Linked DNA regions of Caenorhabditis elegans. The protein of the gene in region 4 purifies or fractionates together with the protein of the main gene of each other region. This does not show direct contact. Each region holds a gene or a part of one and is shown on either strand. Other genes may lie near its edges. The genes, in order: F53F4.15, pgm-1, T09B4.8 and msra-1.

Evidence for each region.
Region 1: the proteins of msra-1 (region 4) and F53F4.15 fractionate together in Caenorhabditis elegans (co-fractionation; one large-scale study listed by BioGRID). This does not show direct contact.
Region 2: the proteins of msra-1 (region 4) and pgm-1 fractionate together in Caenorhabditis elegans (co-fractionation; one large-scale study listed by BioGRID). This does not show direct contact.
Region 3: the proteins of msra-1 (region 4) and T09B4.8 fractionate together in Caenorhabditis elegans (co-fractionation; one large-scale study listed by BioGRID). This does not show direct contact.

What each region holds. Positions count from the first base shown.
Region 1 is NC_003283.11:13,617,926-13,622,239, reverse strand, and holds F53F4.15 (Neuropeptide-Like Protein), read right to left. Parts: upstream 1,265-4,314; 5' UTR 1,234-1,264; coding exon 1,086-1,233; intron 1,040-1,085; coding exon 834-1,039; 3' UTR 764-833; downstream 1-763. Other genes in the region: F53F4.16 (uncharacterized protein), read left to right, coding at 420-554, 599-658; srd-11 (G-protein coupled receptors family 1 profile domain-containing protein), read left to right, coding at 2,554-2,664, 2,899-3,065, 3,115-3,268, 3,313-3,585, 4,039-4,229, 4,272-4,314.
Region 2 is NC_003280.10:4,886,565-4,892,659, forward strand, and holds pgm-1 (phosphoglucomutase (alpha-D-glucose-1,6-bisphosphate-dependent)), read left to right. Parts: upstream 1-2,872; 5' UTR 2,873-2,878; coding exon 2,879-3,124; intron 3,125-3,177; coding exon 3,178-3,458; intron 3,459-3,505; coding exon 3,506-4,391; intron 4,392-4,442; coding exon 4,443-4,736; 3' UTR 4,737-4,863; downstream 4,864-6,095. Other genes in the region: R05F9.7 (Serpentine Receptor, class E (Epsilon)), read left to right, coding at 1-48, 570-782, 1,032-1,093, 1,142-1,489, 1,534-1,647; gst-9 (putative glutathione S-transferase 9), read left to right, coding at 5,024-5,156; msp-33 (Major sperm protein 33), read right to left, coding at 5,747-6,095.
Region 3 is NC_003279.8:6,163,751-6,169,484, forward strand, and holds T09B4.8 (Alanine--glyoxylate aminotransferase 2, mitochondrial), read right to left. Parts: upstream 2,790-5,734; 5' UTR 2,782-2,789; coding exon 2,609-2,781; intron 2,565-2,608; coding exon 2,441-2,564; intron 2,323-2,440; coding exon 1,898-2,322; intron 1,851-1,897; coding exon 1,741-1,850; intron 1,684-1,740; coding exon 1,403-1,683; intron 1,353-1,402; coding exon 1,266-1,352; intron 1,222-1,265; coding exon 1,087-1,221; 3' UTR 969-1,086; downstream 1-968. Other genes in the region: T09B4.4 (EF-hand domain-containing protein), read left to right, coding at 4,267-4,300, 4,368-4,502, 4,552-4,654, 4,696-4,852.
Region 4 is NC_003280.10:7,361,947-7,366,595, reverse strand, and holds msra-1 (peptide-methionine (S)-S-oxide reductase), read left to right. Parts: upstream 1-2,555; 5' UTR 2,556-2,562; coding exon 2,563-2,811; intron 2,812-2,944; coding exon 2,945-3,319; 3' UTR 3,320-3,376; downstream 3,377-4,649. Other genes in the region: insc-1 (Protein inscuteable homologue C-terminal domain-containing protein), read right to left, coding at 3,422-3,543, 3,592-3,872, 4,183-4,285, 4,333-4,486, 4,568-4,649.

The DNA.
Region 1 (4,314 bases), on a different chromosome or scaffold from region 4:
TTTCTTTGTTTCATTGTTTCCGTTGTTACCCAAATCATTTCCCTTCATTTTTACCATTCTTCGTTGATCTTCTTTTACTTCTTCAACAATTTTGTTATTTCTTGGAATTTATTTGAATAAATATTCATCGTTGAATTCAAGTTGTTTTTCGTTTTTATTTCTTTGGTTTTTATCCATTCATAATTATGCTTTCAAAGTTTCGAGAAGAAATTAAAAAATCTCATTAATTTCGAACTTAAAAAAACGTCAACGAAACATGAATAAAACTACATAGAAATTCACTTTTTTGTTGAAAAATTATCAATTTTACCAATTTTTGTGATTTTCGGTGATTTTCTAAATTTTGAAAAATTGAGTTGAATCTTTCATTCTACCCATAAAAGAACTAATTTTTCTTGACTTCATGACTTTTATTCCAGATGAGTTTACCCTGGTATCACCTGGAACGGCCTGCTCGAATGACCTTGCTACGAGCTTATTATACTGTATGTGCACTCACATATCCTACATATGTGGCGATCAACTACAAAAGTTATATTCCAGACAGAGCACAGGTAAAATTAAATCTAATTAGTTGCAGTTAATGAAATATATTTAGGTTCTTGGCGGAAAATCACTTCGTGACGAGATTCTACATCCGGCAATCGTCAAAAACTAGATCTATCGATGTGCAATTCCTCATCATTCTCCGAATTTTTGTCAAATACGAGTATTTTTCCGCCATTATCATTGGTTTTGAGTTTTCCCCCATAGGCCCTTTTCGTTTTTTTCTTTTAGTTTTTAGTCGTTGTTTGTTATCATTTTAAATTTATTCATTCATTAAAATTATTTAATTATGGATTGATGAAATAGTTAGAATAACGATACAATCCCCAGACTGGCTTGTTGGGATTGTAGCCATAATTAGGATAATATGGAATATTATCATCATAGACAGTTGGAAGATTTTGTTGAAGAAATAGACGATCATAGAATCCTGTCCGAGCAAATGCAGACGGAGCTCCACGAAGATTTGCTTCACGATCTTCCCGTTCTTCTACTTCAAAAAGTAATATTAAATTCTACAACTTCTCCGTGAAACCTACAAATCTCGGCAGCAGTTTTATCATGTTCACATGGCCAGACTTTACGAAAATTGACTCTTTCCGGAAGGCACATTCGACCAGGTGGCATTTCAATAGAATAACCAATCAGGAGAGTGAAGCAAAGAATAGAGAGATGAAGAGAAAACATTATTGATAATCATACAATGGGAAAGAGAAATATGGAAAAGACGATTAGGTGAAAAACTTCAAGAAAACACGATTTTTTGGTGATATCTCAGTGATCTCGACAGATTGAAAAATATGGGCGAACTGGATTCGCAATGCATTTTTGTATGTAATAAAGTTAATTGAAAATTAACTTTAAAAATATAAATAGTTCAGATTTATCAGGTTTTCCAAATAACAACATAATTTTTGAATAACGATGCATTAGGTTGTAGGTTGGATTTAACTTCTACCGTTTCACTTCCAATTTCTCAGCGTAAAAGCCAATCGTTATTTACCTCTGAAAGAGAACAAGAATGAATTCTTAAAACTTGCCTATATTTTTCTCATAAAATTTTGTAATTCGTGGACATCGCCTTAACCAAATGTATTATTACGAGATCACTACTTTCTGAGAATGCGTGTTGTGCAACATATCTGACGCGCAATATATCTCGTAGCGAAAACTACAGAAAATATTTAAATTACTACTGTAGCGCGAAATATTTTGCGCAATACGCATTCTAGACATCTAAAGATAAGAATTTTCGCCACATCTTAAATACTTATGCGCACGGTCTCGCCACGCTGACAACGAGTTACTGTAATAATGCATTATAATTTTCGTTTCAAATGAAACATTGCTTCTAAAATTTTTAAATAAAAACATGATCAGTCATAAATCAGCACGAGTTACAGTAGTCAGTAGTCAGCGTGGCGAGACCCAAGCGCGTAAGATATGGCAAAAATTATCATCTTCAGACATCTATGTAATAGATTTAATATGATTAAGGCGTCGCTATTTTGATGATCTGTAAATTTTTTTTGACAATTGTCTAGAACATCAAGTTAACTTAATGTTCTAGACTATTGATATAATACGAAACGACACAGATATATCCCAGACTATGAGTAATTCAAACAGTACATATATTCTCAGGTACGCCAGACGCTTTCTACTGAATGAAGCAATTAACAGCTCTGAGAGCCATCACGAGGAAGCATAAATAGAGATATCTTACGTGCACATGATGTGTTTTCCTTCCTTTTTCGAAAAGTCGAGTGAATAGATATGATAATTGTTTACTTTTTTACGGATTACGGAAAATCTAGTTCCCAAAAAATTATTTATTTTGCAAAATTCTTAGCATTCCTTAGAACAATATAATCATTCTGTAACCATAATCTTCACAGTCATCGTTCCAGTGAAGCCTTAAAATAAAGATTTTCTTTCTATTGAAAAATTTATATTTAAGAGAGAGCTTTTACCATTTTTTTTTTCACTTTCAGAAAAACTTGAAAAATGCTGGACTCTATCACATTATTCTTCCTTTCTTTCCATACGTTTGCCGGAGTTTCTGGCTGCATTCTCAATTCAATTGTGCTCTTTTTGGCACTTTTTCGGACTCCGAAGGTTAGTTTTTCGTGAAAAATCTTTGAACTAATCATAAAATATAGATTAAAATCAAAATTTGAGAGCTTTAGTTCCCAGTTTGGTAAAAACTGTGCAAATCTCGTAATATAGGCTCAGCTTTCTACAGAACTCTGCCATTATAACTAGGTGTGGGATAGCTGGAAATGTTCTGCAGAAATTCCTCATCACATAGACAAGCAATTTCAACCTTCAAACATCAGTTTCCATTTCCAGACAATCGCCGCTTACACCACAATTCTCATAAACTTTGCATTGACCGATTTCCTCGCCTGTTTCACAGATCTTTTCATTCAAATGCGGCATATTCCGGCTGGATTTACAATGGCTTATTTGTCACGTGGACTGTGCACTTATTTTGGACCCCATGTCTGCTATTTTATGTACACCATAATACATATTCCCCGACACGCTTCATTTTCTTAATTTCAGATACAGCATAAACATTTCATTAGTAGCTCATGGTCTATGGTCATTGCTAATGGGGTTCTCATATCGATATTATATCCTGTTTCATCCGGCACCAACGAGAAAAGCTTTGATAGTAATTCTTATGTTTATATCAATTCCGTCAATTATCCAAATGGTAATAATGTGAAACAATTTAGATTTCAAGCTGATACTTTTAAGATAACATTTCTGTGGGCAGACGATGACGCAGATGAAATGAAGCGAATTGTCGTCGAACGATTTCCGGAATATCAACTTCAAAACGAAACTATTTGCGGAACAATTAATATTATTGAGTTTTCTGCAATGTTCACAATTCTACATATGACGTGCCCAATAACACCAGTCTACATAACTATTTGGATATTAAGAAAAAAGATTATTGAGAACCTTACTTCTAATTCAAAGGATATGTCATCAAAAACTAAAGAAATGCATAAGCAGCTATTGAAGGTATGGGCGTTCGGGTAATAACAAAACGATTACGGTTGATGCATGATGCTTTCTTTTATGGTTGGGGTGGAATGAGCAATGTATCATAAAACATGACAACATTCGCATCCAAGTTAGACTAAAAGAACTTTGCTTAGCAGCTGGTTAGATTTGGACAAAATTTGAGTAGAAGTATGGTGAGTAGAAGTAATAAACTTGGCAAAAAAGTTTGAACCTATGTTCTAGGTTCCTAGGATCGCCCGTAGTCCGCCTTCGTCAGTGAGCTAATTATTAAAAAACCTTACTTTTAGTTCAAAAAATTACCAGATATCATGTAGGATTTCGGTGGCAACTTATTTTTGTTGCACTTATCAAGTTGCCTCCGAGACGATTGAAATTTTTCAAACAATTGATTTCTGCATTAAAAACGTGACGAAATGCTTACGAATTACTTCAAACGCCAAAACCTTTCAGGCTCTCACATGGCAAGCCATGATCCCTGGCTTTTACGGAATGAGCATTGTATCTTACGTCATTGGGCAATTCTTTTTCAATCACCCCGTATTTGAATATCTCACGCTCACAGGATTCCTTTTTATGCCTGTTCTTTCTCCACTCTCTTGCCTGATATTTATTCAAATTTACCAGAAACGAGTTCTATCATGGTGAGCTTGAAACAATTATTAAAAAATAATTCCTATTTTCAGGTGGTACAAAATGATTGGAAATCCAATTCCAGATGAGTGGCTT
Region 2 (6,095 bases), 2.5 Mb from region 4:
GTCTGGCCAGATTCTACATGATTTTGGTTCAATTAAAGTTTGTCACAGGTTTGTAAAAAAACTTTCGTCTCATATGCTTTCTGGTAAGATTTAACTTGTTCTGAAAGAGGTTTACACTTATTTGACTGAAAAACGACAAGATAAACATTGGCAAATCACACATTTTCTGAAAAATCTGAAATTTCCAAAATTTATAATAGTTACATTTTAAAATGGAATTTTGAAAACACGACTCATATCATTGGTGTTAGCGATGTATGTTGAACATTCTTCAAGTCATGTTGTATGGAGCTGCCATAACATGTTCCAAATGAATGAGCTGGTGGAAGTTGGGTAACATTTTCACAAAATAATAAAATCAAAAGTTGAAAAAATATGTGTATACTTGTGGGGATTGTAAATGTGACTGAAATTGTAGATTTTTCAGATTTTCTTTGCACGCAAATTTAAAATTCAATCAGAAATTCAGTCGTTCCAGTAATTTTTAAATGGTAAAAATTGTCCAACGCCATATATGTTTTTTTTTCAAATTTTAAACTTATATGACTCGGTAGCTCAATATTTTTCAGATCTCGACACGCCGTATCTCCTCGTAGCGGGAATATTGAGAATGGAACATTATGGAGTTAGTTTAAGTGCAATTTTAGTAGTAACTATTGAACGAGCATTTGCAACTTATTATGTGGTCGATTATGAAACGAAGCACAGATGTTGGGTTGCTGCATTTTGTGCTTTGGTCAGCCTAACCTATACTCAATGTTTTGTGATTCCCATTTGTTTCTGTAAGTTTTATTCTCTTACAGTTTTTGTGCCTACGTGCCTGCCTGCGTCCTTGGAAAAACTTGGAAAAAAACACAAGAAAATTTGCAGAACACACAACTTTCCAAAAGGGGTTTTTTGGGATTTTCTATTTTCAAAAAAGCAGCAAAATAACCTAATTTTAAAAACAAAAAAGGGGTAGGTATAGGCACTGGCAGGCATATACTCTTTTCACAATTCACATTCTTAACATCAAAAATAGTTATTTTCAGTTGAAGCTTCTTTGTTGTATATTATTCTATTCGCATCACTATGGGCAGTTTTCTCAAACATTGTAAGAAGCACAATGCCCATTTTTCAAAATAATTTCTTCATTTTTTAGGTTTTAATGTGCCTTTACTATTATAATGTACAAGAATCCAAGAGATTATCATGGAAAGCTGAGAATCTTCGGAAAATGAAAAATGTAAATTATACATTGAGCAAGAAGTTTCAAGTTGAAGAAAATGTGAAAATTATTAAATATCTGCAAGTTATGAGCTCCATGTTGGTTTTTCTCATATTTTTTGTTATTATATTTATTGTAGTTCCTAGAGTATATCTGGGTTCAAAAACATATTCGGGTCAAGTTATGATTTCACTTTTTGATATTAATTTGGCACTTGGTGCAATTCTAATTCCTTCCGTTTGCGTTTTACATTTACGGAAAACTAGAGATATGCCATTTTCTGTAGGTTTTTATCAATTTTTCAGATTTTCATTATATATTTTCAGGGGAAAATCCATTGTTTGAATAAGAGACGCGATGACCGTCAGGTGAACCCGATTACTGTATTTGAAGACGTTACAAAATCATATTTCGATCAATTTCAAACATCTTGGCGATGATTCATATGATTTTTGGAAATATTACTTTGAAGTTTTGTTATAAAATGTTACATTAGAAACATTTGTGTTTTTTAAACATGTTTTATTCTTCAGTGATTCTTCCAGCACAAAACAAAAACAGCACAAAGTCCGTTGTTTTATTTTTAGTGAGAGCGTCACTTTGTTTTTATAAATAATTTAGATTCTTTTATTCATATAATTTTTGGGTAAAAAACTGTTTTTGGTTTTTTGAAAAATTTCATTAAAGTGAAACATTAACCACGGTAGAATTAAAGGCGCAGCATGAATAAGTTTTCGTGTGCTCCGCAACGATTTTAACTACCTTAACCTACAATCGGAATTCGTTTAAAAAACAAAAAGCGAGTCATTTTGTTTCAATAAAAAGTTGAGTTTTTCTTAAATACTTATCAATATTTTCTCCAAATTTCATTCGGTTACTATCAAAAAAAAGTTTTTTATTAATTACGGTCGGTTTAAAGGCACAGAAGGAAAAAAGTGTTTGTCAGTATCGCAGCGATTTTAATTACCGCATACCATTATTGAAATTTTGTTTGAAAAAAACAAATTACTCGAAATGCGCGCGCGGTATTCACCATTTGTATCGTTCTTTTTCCCGAAATTTCGTTGTTTTTGTGTTCGACACAATATATTCAATAGTTTGTAGCGATGAAAACCTTGATAAGCAATAGGGGGCGTCTCGAATTTTCGAAAGAGAGTATAAAGAAGATAAATTTTTTTTCGCTCATTGATTTCTTTTCATTTTTCTTTATCTTTTTTGATGAACAGCAGCAGTTGTTCCATTTCTACACGTATTTTGTTGCTCTCTATTTCTCTGAACTCTCTGTTTGTGTGGGTGCTCTCCTTTGGCGCCAACAACTGCAGCTGGCATTTCTTTTCTTTTTTCGCTGCGAAATCTGAACTATTCCTGCCCACCCACCAGAAGATAAATAAATTCTTCGTGTTCTTAACATGTCTGTCTACCTGGACTTTAAAAACCCCATTTAAAAGTTGCATTTGAGGTCAAAAGTTATCCCAGAAGAGTTCGAGCACATTTTAGGTCGGCCCATTTCTAAAGTTATTCATTTTTCTATGTTTACTATCACTGAACATTGACCAACCACTTGACTTTCGTGATAAGATACGAAGCGATCATTTTCTGTTTACTATTTTCTCTTTTCTCATAGTCAGTCCATTTTATTTTCTGATCTATAATATTTATTTTCAGCCTAAAATGGGAATCGCCGTCGTTGAAACCCCCACAAAACCATTCGCAGGACAGAAACCCGGAACATCTGGTCTTCGCAAACGGGTTCCGGAATTCCAGCAGCAGAATTACACGGAAAACTTTGTTCAAGCAATTTTGGATGCTGGTCTTGGATCGAAAAAGAAGGGTTCTCAGTTGGTTGTTGGTGGAGATGGACGGTTTCTTTCGATGGAAGCCACAAATGTGATTATTAAAATTGCAGCAGCCAATGGGGTAAGAAATATTGAGAAATTTTAGTAATTTTTTTATAAATTTGAGTTTTTCAGCTTTCCCGTCTTATCGTCGGTCAAAACGGTTTCTTGTCGACGCCAGCTCTCTCGAATCTTATCAGAAAAGGACACGAAGGTCGTGTTGTTGATGGAGGAATAATTCTCACTGCTAGTCACAATCCAGGAGGTCCAAAGGGAGATTTTGGAATCAAATTCAACTGCGAAAATGGTGGACCTGCTCCAGATCAAGTCACTGATGCCATTTATCAGATCACAACTAAAATCGATAAATACTTGATTGCCAAGGATTTAGAATGCGATTTTACACAAGTTGGAAGGTAAACACATCAATATTTTGATTACATTGATGTACATTAATTTTCAGATATGAATATGATATTGAGGGAGTTGGTCACTTTGTCGTTGACGTCATTGATTCAGTTACCGAATACATCAACCTCATGCAGAAAATCTTTGATTTCCCAAAAATCAAATCCCTTCTCGCTGGTGAACTTACTGGACGCAAACTCAGAGTTTTACTTGATTCGATGCACGGAGCAACTGGACCATACATCTCTACAATTCTTGTCGATCATCTTGGAGCTGATCCTTCTGATCTTTTGAGAACTGTTCCAAAGCCAGATTTCGGTGGAGGTCATCCAGATCCAAATCTCACCTACGCAAAAACTCTTGTTGAACGCCTCCACACCGGAGAACACGATTTAGGAGCTGCATTTGATGGAGATGGTGATCGTAATATGATTCTTGGAAAGAATGGCTTCTTCGTTTGCCCCAGTGATTCTTTAGCTGTTATTGCTGATAACATTGATTATATTCCATATTTCAAGACTCGTAAGGTTGCTGGTTTTGCTCGTTCAATGCCAACTGCTGGAGCTGTTGATTTGGTTGCCAAGGCAAAGGGACTTCAAGTGTATGAGACACCGACCGGTTGGAAGTACTTTGGAAATCTTATGGATGCTGGAAGAATTGCTATTTGTGGAGAAGAATCATTCGGAACTGGATCTGATCACATTCGTGAGAAGGATGGCGTTTGGGCACTTCTTGCATGGCTTCAAATTCTCGCAGACCGAAAAGAATCCGTCGAGGAAATTGTGACGAAGCATTGGCAGAAATATGGAAGAAATGTGTTCACTCGTTACGACTATGAGAATGTGGATGCAGCTGGTGCCAACTTGTTGATGACTTTCCTTGAAGCTCAATTGCCAGCATTTGTTGGAAGAGATTTCTCGGCAAATGGGGTTACATATAAGGTGAGAGAAAGTTCGAAAAGATTTATTTTTTCTAAAAAATACTATTTCCAGGTTGCTGTCGCTGACAATTTCCAATATACTGATCCAGTGGATGGTTCAGTTGCAACCAAACAAGGACTCCGAATTGTCTTCGAAGATGGATCTCGATTGGTATTCCGACTCTCTGGAACAGGATCTGCCGGTGCTACCATCCGTCTCTACGTTGATTCGTACATTCCTTCAAATGACACTTCTCGCCTTCTACTTCCAGCTCACGAATTGCTCAAACCATTGGTGTTGATTGCACTTGATACTTGCAAAATGGAGCAGTTCACTAATCGCAAGGCTCCAACTGTTATCACATAATTTTAGTATTTAAAAATGATTTATATATTGCATGAGTTTAGCTAAATAATTATGTGTAGATTTTCCTCGGTTTATATAATTTTATGTTGCACGTAAACGAAAAGTTGAATGAAAATTTGAAAACTTATGAGAATATTGTGAAATACATCAATGTTGGTTTTTGGAAAAAAAAGTTGATGTTTGTGGTTTTCTGATGTCGATTTAGTGAGAAATGAGAAACGCAGACACTGAGAGCGAAGGGTTCAAAAGCGCCAGATTGTGACGAATTCTTCATTTTATTCTGAAAAATGGTTTCCTATAAACTAATTTATTTTCAATCTCGTGGAAATGGAGAAATCGCTCGTCAAGTTTTCGCTTTTGCCGGCCAAGAATTTATTGATGAGCGTATTTCTAAAGAGCAGTGGGCAGAAATTAAAAATAGTAAGTTCAAAAGTTGCATTTTAGAATGAAATCCTCAGTTTAAAAAGTTGATTAATTACAATGTAGCGAAATGCTTCAGTTTTTAAGTGGTATCCCGCCACGAACAAAATATCCTCACATAAAGATTAAGGTGTGCCTTTAAGCAGTACAGTAACCCATTTTACAATTTTATTCGATTTTTCCACATTATTAAATAAATTCAATTCGATTTTCTACTGAAAAAAATCGAAAATATAACAATTCAAATATATATTTATTATTGGGGATTTTGGCAGATACTGCAGAAATTTAAAAAACTTTGCAATGCAAAAAAAAAATCAAAAATTCCAGGCTTCTTTTGGAATCATTTTGGCAGAACCTGCAGAAATATTAAAGTTCGGTTTTTTTAAAGAGATGATCGAAGAAACATTGTAGTGTCGAGCCAGCTGATCTAGAGGAAAATGCTCAAACGAGGAGTGGAAAGGAAGCTCTTTTTTCGAGCATGACAATATTATCTCGTTTGAAAATCTCTGAAAATATGTTCAAGTAAAAAAAAACAAAAAACGAGCTATCAATGAAAGTTTATTGAAGTTTTGGAAAGTTCACAAATCCTATGGGTTGTACTCGATTGGGAGGTTCTTACGACGAACCATACCGTCTCCTTGGAACCATTCCCGACGGAATTGCTTAGCAGCACCATCCGGAGTGTTGGTCCACTCAACAGTGATACGATCGTTGTTAGTGTCCTCCTGTCCAAAGGCGAAGGCATCGCAGGAAACTGCCAGAAAAACAGCTTCCTTTGGGTCCAGAACTCCACATGGTGGATCAACTCCAAGTCTCTTCATATTGGTGGTCTTGATACCGTATCCAATACGGCGAGCAGATGAGTTGATCACCTTGATGTGGTAGGTGTGCTTGTCGTCGTACGGGGCATTGAACACGATCTTCGTACCCGGCTGG
Region 3 (5,734 bases), on a different chromosome or scaffold from region 4:
AGGAGAAACAATTAAAAAAAAAACTGAAAATGTTCTGTTCCGCATATAGGCAAATGGTGTAATAAGGAATAGATCCTTCAGGTTTTAAAGGTTCGATAGGATGACAGCTTCTGCAAAACACCGTCTTATCTAGATTGCCGGTGTTGTGTTGCAGTGTTGCATAAAAGTTGTAAAAATCGTATCCGATATCGGTCGCAAGCTAACAAACAATAACTAGAGGCCTCTAAAAAATATCACACCCTCTATAGAGGGTGTGATATGATGCAACTTGTAGGATTCAATACTGTTTTATATTAATAACTGAGAAACATGTCGAACTTTCAATCGAACGTATACGCATTCAAACAGCAATTCAAACCATATACACACCTTATAGATTAATGCATTCAACCTACGTGCTTATTGCTGTTTTATTCGTACGCTTGAAGAGTGCATTTTATGCCGCCATAGCTCAGTCGGTTAGAGCGTGGGTCTAATAAGCCCAAGGTCGCAGGTTCGACCCCTGCTGGCGGCAAACTTTTGCCATGCTATCACTTTCACCTTTTTCCGCATTTCGATTACATCATCAGTTGTGCGGTTGGCGTCGCCTAACCATCCGATGAGATAACACCTATGTCGCATTTGCCGCGCGCCAAGGACATGCGGATCGGAACCGGTTTTAAGCTTTTCTTAATCTCAATCCACAGCAGAAGCAGCAGCCGCAGTACATGCATGTCGCTTCATTTTTTTAAACATCGTCCGTCCACCAGCACCTTGTGACGGAGAAGTGAAGCGCGTACATAATGCCATAGTATACCAATAACACATAAACGATACATGTAACTGGATGCGTTTTGGAAGAAGCAAAAGAGAAATGCGAAAAAAGAAGAATACCAAGTTGACTGACGGATTTTCGTGTTCAGATCTGAATTTGTAGCTGTACGTCTTAAAAAAGGGAGTGGTCTGAACAATACAAATTGAAGCGTTTTGGAACAATAATTTCATAGAACCCGAAAGAATTTTGAATATTTGAATTATAGTTTGAAACAACAACAAAAAACAAGAATTTGGTAATATCGAAATGAAGAAATGACGGCGCCTATGAAATTATTTGTATTGTTTAATTGATTTGGCAATGATGTCTACAGCAAAATCGACATCCTTTTTAGTAATACACATTGGTGGTTTGATACGGAGAACGTTTCCATGGATACCTCCTTTTCCGATCAGTAGGCCTTGGTTCTGTAAATTAATCTGATAGTTAGACAAGTAAAATGGCATTACACCTTAGTGTCTTCGAAGATAGCTGCTGTTTTGGCTGCGGCAAGTGGTTTCCCTTGCTCATCGATAAGTTCCACTCCGATCATTAACCCCTAAAAATCATCAAATTGTATATTAAAATCTTTTTAGAGAGTTTTCTCACTTTTCCTCTAACATCTCCAATTGTCGCATCATCAATTGCTGCAAGTTGTTTCAAGAAGTAATCTCCAACAACAGCGCTGTTTTCCTGAAGCTTCTCCTCTTCAATCACTTCCAATACAGCTTTTCCAACAACGGAAGCTAATGGATTTCCACCATATGTATTGAAGTATAGAGATTTGTTGAAAGAGTCGGCAATTTCTTTACTAGTGACAACAGCTCCCAATGGGAATCCGTTTCCGATTCCTTTTGCCATAGTTACCATGTCTGGCAAGGCATCTTGTGCTGAAAATTCAAAATATTGATTTCTTAGTTTTAGTATTATTTATTTTAAAAACTCACATTCGAATCCCCAAAAATGAGAGCCGAGGCGTCCGAAACCGGTTTGTACTTCGTCAGCAATAGCGAGTCCTCCCCGTTTTTGTACAGATTCGTAAGACTTTTTGAGATATCTGGAAAAATCAAATACACATTTTTCACTTTTCTTTTGAGATTTTACCCATGTGGATACTGAACAGTTCCTCCAACTCCTTGAATAGATTCAATCAAGAAGGCAGCTGGTCCGGATGAATGAGAGAAATCGTGAAGAAGCATATCATCGAACTGTTCAATGTACTTATCAGAAGCTTGACAGGATCCAGGCTTGCAATCGCATTTTCTGTTCTTTACTTGAATTGGAGAGTCACGACAATTGCTTCCTCCAAAGATTCCACGATATGGATCAGCATTCAATGACTTAAAAATGTTGAATCCATGTGGAAAAACTGGTTTCCAGTTTCCCAAATTAGTTGCTCCAAGAACAGTTTGGGTCATTCCATGATATCCATTTCTCATCGAGATAACATCAAATCGTCCTGTGTAGTTACGAGCAAGAGCTAAAGCCAGGTCATTTGCTTCCGATCCAGAGTTCACAAAGAAGACTGACTGAAAATTTGGATGTGAAGAAACGACTAGATATTTAGTAATTCACTATAGGAAGGCCTAACAGTTTCAAGTCTGCAAACTGTAGGGTTTGATAAAAGGGTAAAAAATAAAAACTAACATTCAATTTGCTTGGGAACTTTGAGAGCAACTTCTCAGCATACTCATAAATTGGTTCAGTGTGATAAATGGACGTGGTATGCCAAAGCTTCTGTGCTTGCTCGGTAAGAGCTGCGTTGATTTTTCTGAAAGCATAAAATTCTCATAAGCTTACAAAAAGAATACTCACGGATGACAATGTCCAACTGAGACTGTGACAATTCCACCAAAGAAATCGAGATATTTCTTTCCATTCGAATCAAAAAGGAATTGTTTTTCACCTTTCGTAATCAAGAGTTGATCCTTGTAATAGGTCACATGTCCCTTTGGAAGTAATGGACGAAGTGCCTGCACTCGTTGCATGGTTTAAGCTGAAATTTTTTCAATATTTGATGAATCGATTAAAGGGATCCAAAAAATAATGACTTGTGGAAAATTTTGAAAAGTTCACGGAAAAATCTACTTTCGTGTGGAATACAAGTTAAATACAGGAAATCATTAGAACTTATAGGCATTTAAGAAACACAATTGCACACAAAATAACTGGAGGGTGTGTCAAATGTTTCAAGGTCAAGTTGGATATATTACACAACACACACACACAAAAATGCACCAAAAAGACAACTGTCTATGACTGTCTGCGTATCTTCCATTCAAATACTTTTTCATTTGGCTCTGAGACAGTTGTCGTTGGGAAAATTAGAGAGAGTGACCAATAAATGTGTGGAGAAGAGAAAAAGAGCAACGTGTTTGAGGACAGAAGTGCAAAAGAACAACAAGTTAAAAAATTAAAGAAAGAAAAATGTCATTATTAGAACGGTTCTTTGTGAAAAACTGCCTGCAAAAAGAAAAAATGAAAGAAAGAATTTTCATAGAACAACTGAAAGATATCAAGAGATGATAATTGATAACTGTTGCACGTATCAATTGATAAAAATGAATAGGACATTCAATTCTGATTATTGACCCTTTTAATAATATTCTTGATTTGACTTTATGTGGTGGATCCGAAGAAATACTTTCAATACTTTCTCGTGGGGCTTAGTTCAGGCTTGGGCATAGGCGTAGGCTTAGGCTTAGGCAGGCCGGGAGGAGGAAGAGAGCACATGAAATTCCAGAAAATTGAATAGAAGAAAAAGAATAGAAGAAAAAAAAAAAGAAAAAATGCACAAAACCCATGATAAATGGAATTAATAAGAGAAAAAATTGCACAATCTTGAATTGTATTTTTCTTCCCCTCAAGTTTTGATTTTGCGGTATTTATTAAAAGTTTGGAGTATTCCGAGTATTATTTATAAAACCAACTTAACTGTTGAATCCATAAAGTTTATTTTCCGTGTGACTTTTTATTTATAAGCAGTACCCGCAGTGTATTATATTCTGTAAAATTGCCGAGTTGCCGAAAATCTAAGTCTTCTTTCCTTCTCGCATCAAAACTTTCTCTTTTCAATCGCAACCGTTCTCGTGCGACTTTCTTTTTCTCTTCTTCTTCACAATTTCTTTGCTATTTCTTCTTCTCTATGTAAAAGATGCAGATAACCCAAATTTGCGTATTGTTATCAATACCAGTGTTGCATACAACATCAATTTTCTCATTTATTGATTTTTGTTTTGGTCCAAGTTGAGGATAATTTTTCGTTGAGAAAAAAGCTTGTATTCCTGCCAAATCTCTCGTTTTTTCTTGTTTTCCGCCTTTGTTTTGACCCGTCAAACACCGTTCCGCGATTCGCTTTTTATTTACCTACGCTCTCTCGTTTTCTCACACAGTTCTTTTCACAGAATTTCAATTCACATTTTGCTGCTCGGGTTTGGCTATTTTATATATTAACATTTTAAAACAAAGAAGAAATGACTGAATTTTTCTCGCAGAAGCAGATTGATGGTAAGTGAAACAACACTATAATTCCAAGATTTGACTCCGAAATCTTTACTTTATTGTTTCTCATCAGAAATTCGTGAATGCTTCAACTTTTATTCAACCAGTGGAGTACTAAGAACAGATTCTCAACTTCGATGTGCTCTCCGAAGTCTTGGATATTCTCCAACTGCTTCCAAAACTGATATTTATTTCAAGAAGCTTAATAGTATGAGTTTTAGAACATTACACTTCTGAATGATTGCTATTTATTTCAGAAAAACCAATCGAATTTGCAACATTTTTGGACATTTGCAAAGATGAACAAAATAGTCCGAATCCACTGACGGAGATTATCAAAGCGTTAAGTGGATTGGATAGGTTAGTTGATGTGCTTTACAAAATAAATACGAAATTTTCAGAAATAAAACTCGCGCAATGCCATCTCGTGAGCTTGCCGCAATACTTTCACACGTTGGGGAGCAAATGAGTCCAGAGGAGATTAAATATCTTTTATCAAAAGTTGAGGTCAACGGAATGGTTCCTCATCAAGCACTTATTGAGTATATTTCCAAATGAAATTTACTTTGAGCAAATAAAAATAAATTGTTTTTATCTGGGAGCTGTCTAGTGAGTTATTGGATTAAGAACGGCTGCAATATATTTGGAAATAATTATTAAAAAATTATAATTTTCGTCAGGGCAGTCACAAACATGTCAGAACAAAACACGAAAAGTAAAATTAAAAATAAAATCCTAATCTTTTTCTCGCGACTAAAATGTCTGAATCAGTATTTTAGTAAAGAAAATACCCCAAAATAGTTTTGGATAATTTGGTAATGACCAAAATAGCAGATAAAACAAAAATGAATACAGATGGATTGAAAATTTGACTTTTGGAATCACCAAAATCACCAATCGCCAAAAATGCGAAGTGCACAATTCCAATGATGCATAAATATGTATAGAGCTCGTCCCGGTTTAATTTCAATTCTTGGAATGTTAAGTTTACGTAAAGTCATGTTAAAGCTTTCGAAGTGTATCAAACTTTCAGTAAAAAGCTTGAAATACCCAGCTTTCCGAGGCCGTCTCTGATCTGGCAAGTTGAGCAACGTTGATTCCAGTTTGTACTTGGATTGGAGGCGGCCTGAGAATCCTGAATGTTACAAGCTTTTTGCCAAAAAGATGTAGATATAGTTCGAAATCTTGAACATGACTTCAGGTAAATCTAACATTTCCAGAAATGAATTCAAATCAGTTTTTGTCTCCTCCATAGGAGATGTTCCAAAATTTGTAGCCGACACCAAATTTCTTTTCGTCAGAATTGTTTTGCGTACCATTATCACCTCCTCGAAATAAACAGATGAACAACAAACTATCGTGAGGGAGTACTCCGCGCGAGTCGTTTTTTTTATCTTCATGCTATGTATTAGAAGGAATTCGGCATTTAAACATGCAGTA
Region 4 (4,649 bases):
TACTCGATGATTCCAGATTCGATGAAAACGAAAATTCAAGTTCACCCGGTATGGCATGTACAAGAAGCTCTCAAAATTGTCACTGAAAACAAGAAATAACCCTAACTATAAATTTTTACTCGAATAAAAATTTTGAGATTTTTCAAAATTTCAACTTTTTCTCTTCACATTGGTCAACAGAAATGTCGGTCAGATTTTTTGAGCAATTTTTCTCAATGTTTATCTAATATTGTAAAACATAGTTAGTTTGGTATTTTCCATAATTTTCAGTATCTACTAATAAATTTCTGAAGTTAAACCTGCCATTGTGTAGAGAATTTTTCTAGCTTTCGAACAAGCCTAACTAGGCATTTGTAGCGTATCTTCAAACTGGCGTATCTTGAAAAATCCACGTCTATGAAGCAAATGTTCAACTAAAAAAATGTTTAAAAATATTTTTTCTTTTTTTTGCATTTAGTTTCATTGCAAGATACCAGTTATTTGTTGAGTTACACTGATTCAAATAAATTTTCCCAATACCCATCGAAATTTTTGAGAACTGTTCTGCTCTACCATTCATAATTCAACATCCATTGAATTTTAGATAACAAAACTTATGGGGTTATTCAAGTAGTGTCGGAAAATTAAAAAGTGTAGATTAATTACGTCACAACTGTATTCAAGTATATAAAAACATGTATTTAAATACATTAGTGACGTCACAAATGTATTTAAATACATTTTGCTACATTACTTGAATAACCCCATTAATAAATAATAATTGCAAGATATTTTTCCACATTTTATCAGTTTATATCTTGCAATTATTATTCATTAACATTTTACTTCTGAAACTCAATCGACAAAATTTTTAGTGGTTTTTGGTAAAATGACTCTGTGTAACAAATAATTGGTATTTTGCACTGAAAAGTAATGCAGAAAAAATAAAAAATATTTCTAATCATTTTGTTAGTTGAACATTTGTTTCCTGGATGTTTATTTTTCAAGATACGCCAGTTTGAAGATACGCAATTTCGTGAGTTCAAGAAGTTATTTGGTAAACCGAGCCTGGGCTTGCAACTTTTGCTGGCAAGTATTATTTTAATGAGAATTTAGAATGTTGTATTGCCTAACTATTGAATTGTAGAAAATTATAGTATACTTCTACAACGGTTCAATAAAACAATAGTGATGTACTGTGGGCACACTCAGAAAAACGCTTAGTAGTCTAATTAGATTTCGACCATATTGGATTAGATTTGTTTTCTAATGAAATATGGAGGAAATCTAATCTAGCATGGATTTCTAATCTAATATGGAGCAAATATAATGCAATATGGATTTTCTAAACAAATATGGTTGAAATCTCGTTGAATACGGTTGAAATCTAATTAGACGACTAAGCGTTTGTCTGAGCAGGTGTCACAGTGGATTTGTAGTCCAAATGACTGTCTGTAAAAACAACATTATTTTTGAGCTTCAAAACTAACTTGCAAGTAGGTCAAAACGTTCAGACTGAGCCAGTCTTACTCCACCCCCACTACCATCCTCACAAGTGAACGAATTCCGTCAAATAGGTATAACTTATTCATTTGTGCATTGAACATTTGCTGCAGCAATGCAAGTTCTTGATGATATAACTGCTGAACTAGCGAATCTAGATTATCTTCGTCAACGTTCCATCCGTGAAATACAAAATACATTGCGAAAACAAGAAGACATGGAATTAGATAAAGCTGCTGAAGTCATAGTAAATTATCAAGATCCAAGAGCACACTATATTTTAATAGTTCAGAAATAACTTAGGTTTCCATTTCACTTTTTTTCTGGAAATATCCTTTATTAACCAGACACGAGGTTTTAGGGTTTTTGAGCCAACCCCGGTCTTGACACGACAGATTTTTGTACAATACGAACAGGCGTGCGCCTTTAATGAGTACTGTAGGTTCAAACTTTCGGAAATTTCATTTATTTTTCATAGTTTTTTGATTAATTGTTTTTTAGCTAATCGAATAAACAAAAAAAAACGATTGTTGTAAGACGAGGAAAAGTTCAATGTTCTCACAAGTGAAAGAGCTCCGTCAACTAGGTATAACTTATTCATTTGTACATTGAACATTTTGCAATTTCTAACGAAAAATACAGGGCCTAAAATTAGAAACTATTTTGATCAAAAGAAAGTTCATGGAAAAGCTCAGTTATTGTCCATTGAACCCAACGTGTACTCAATATCATCAAAAGAAACATCTTTACCAAAAAGCGATCTATGTCATCATTTCTGACTGGCCATCTGCTTTTTCTTCGTCTACCACTGCTGGCAGAATGATGATAAAGCATGTCGTGTCTATATGCCTGCGTCTAACATTGTATGTTTTCTTTTCTACTTGTCTTCTTCATCGATTCCCTCTGCGTCTCTTTCCTCTTTCTGATGTAATCGCAAAATTTACAGGAATCACATTTTGATTCCGCCCCGATTTGTATATAAATTGACTGTGAAACATACGTTTTTACATTGTTTACTAATTTTTTAATTCCTTTATAAACTCAAAACCTTTTTCAATCCGATATAATTTCAGGTGAAACATGGCTTATTTGGAGCGTGCCTATTTTGGTCTTCAGTGCTTCTGGGGAGAATCTGCATGGGCGAAGCTGAAAGGAGTTGTGGTGACACGAGTTGGATATGCTGGAGGAAAACAACCAAATCCTACTTATAAGAATATCAAGGATCATACTGAAATCACAGAGATCACTTTTGATCCAAAAGTTATTGAATACTCAAAGCTCACCAACTTCTTTTGGAAGCATCACAACCCAGCTGAAAGGAGAAAGAAGGTAATTTTCGAATTGACTTTAAAGTTTCAAATATTGTTCTACTGGAAAACGTAACAAAAAGTAAGTTCTAATTGATTATAATTTTTTAGGTTAAAATACATTTAAACTTCAAATTAATTCGTTTCAATTTCAGCAATACCAATCTGCGATTCTCTACGTAAATGACGACCAAAAGAAAGTCGCTGAAGAAACTTTGAAAGTAGCAAAGGACAAGCATGGAGACATTGAAACATATATTGAGCCATTGGACAAGTTCTATCAAGCTGAAGATTACCATCAAAAATATTGGTTCCGTCAAAAGAAGATTCTTTTCGATGAACTGTCTCTTCTTGATACTCAAGTTGCTGAAGGAGAACTTGCCACAAAATTGAACGCATATTGTGCTGGCTTCCAGGACTTCCACGATCTTGAGCGTCTTGCAAAAGAGTACGGATTAAAGGATTCTTTTGTCAATAAGGTGAAGGACTATGCTCTGTCAGGAGGAGATCCAAGAAACTGTCATGCTTAAATTATATGAATGTACAATCGAACTTTTATCAGGTTTTCAATGAATTTTATTTTATCACAGATTCTTGTGTTTGTTTGTTTAACAAAGGAAGATATTTGAATATTATACTGCACTTTCAGATTGGTATTTAGATTCCAACTTTGTGCGAATATTGTTGCATATCATATTAAATGGATTTGAAGAGTTGTTGTCATCATAAAGCACATTGCTCAAAATTGCGTAGGCTGTAACTTGAACATATATGAAACGTTGAATAATTCTGAAAATCTCACCATTATTACCATACAAGGCTTTGAGCCCAATTTCACTGTTAGCTAAAGTACCAATACATACAGCAGCTTTGTACCGTATCCTTCTACAGTAATCCGCATGGATTGGATGGGTAAGGGATAAAAATTCAAGAAGCACTGGAATTGCATTTTGATCAACCATTTGATGATCTAAATGACGGGCGGCAAGGCGAGAAAAGGCTGTAACAATTTGTTCCTGGACGAAGACAGTGGCACAATTTTCTCGATTATAAGCAGATATCAGACGACGAATTGAATTATTTCTGAAAATATTTACATTTACATGTTGCAAAAAACTTTTCAAAATCCCAAAATAGAGAGCGATCCTATAAATTTTCAGATTTTTTTTTAAATTCGAGACTGTTTTCAGTTTTATCTGGTAGGCTGGTTTACCGTTTTGTAGTTTCTAGGTAACTTGTAGCAATTGCTACAAAAGTTAGAACAAGGAATTCGCCTTGAAATTTTGCATTCATTTTCTACAATTACGTGCTATAGCTCAATTTAATGTTGGTTCAAATTTAATTTTGTACTGAGCTTTTGCGAAAATAGTTAAATGCTTAAAATTCAACAAACCTGTACATAATATCAACTCCATTTGGGTTCTGAAGTGTCACATTGTTCAATGCAGCGGTTGCCAAAAGCAAAGAGTCACCTGATTTACATTGATCTATTAGATCTGAAATTAATTATTTAGTCTCCAATTTTTATATTTAAATTGGTTACCCAAAAGTCTGGATATAATTGGTTCCACATGATTTAACCGAATGAATGCAGACTGAGGATTGGTAAGTTGTGTCAGAATACCAGCTGCCTCGACGGAACAGATTGATGAGGAAATGGATAAAAGTCTATCAATAACCAAATCCAAGCCTCCTTGCTGAAATTAATCAATTTGTATTGATTGAATTTGTATTGAATTTGTATTGAAAAGTATTGATTATAAAATATATCTAATTACCGTGAGCAAAGCAAGTGCTCCTTTTGAAACTCCACATAACACTGCCAATGTTCGAAGTAAAAATCTAAGAGTGTTCTCCTGT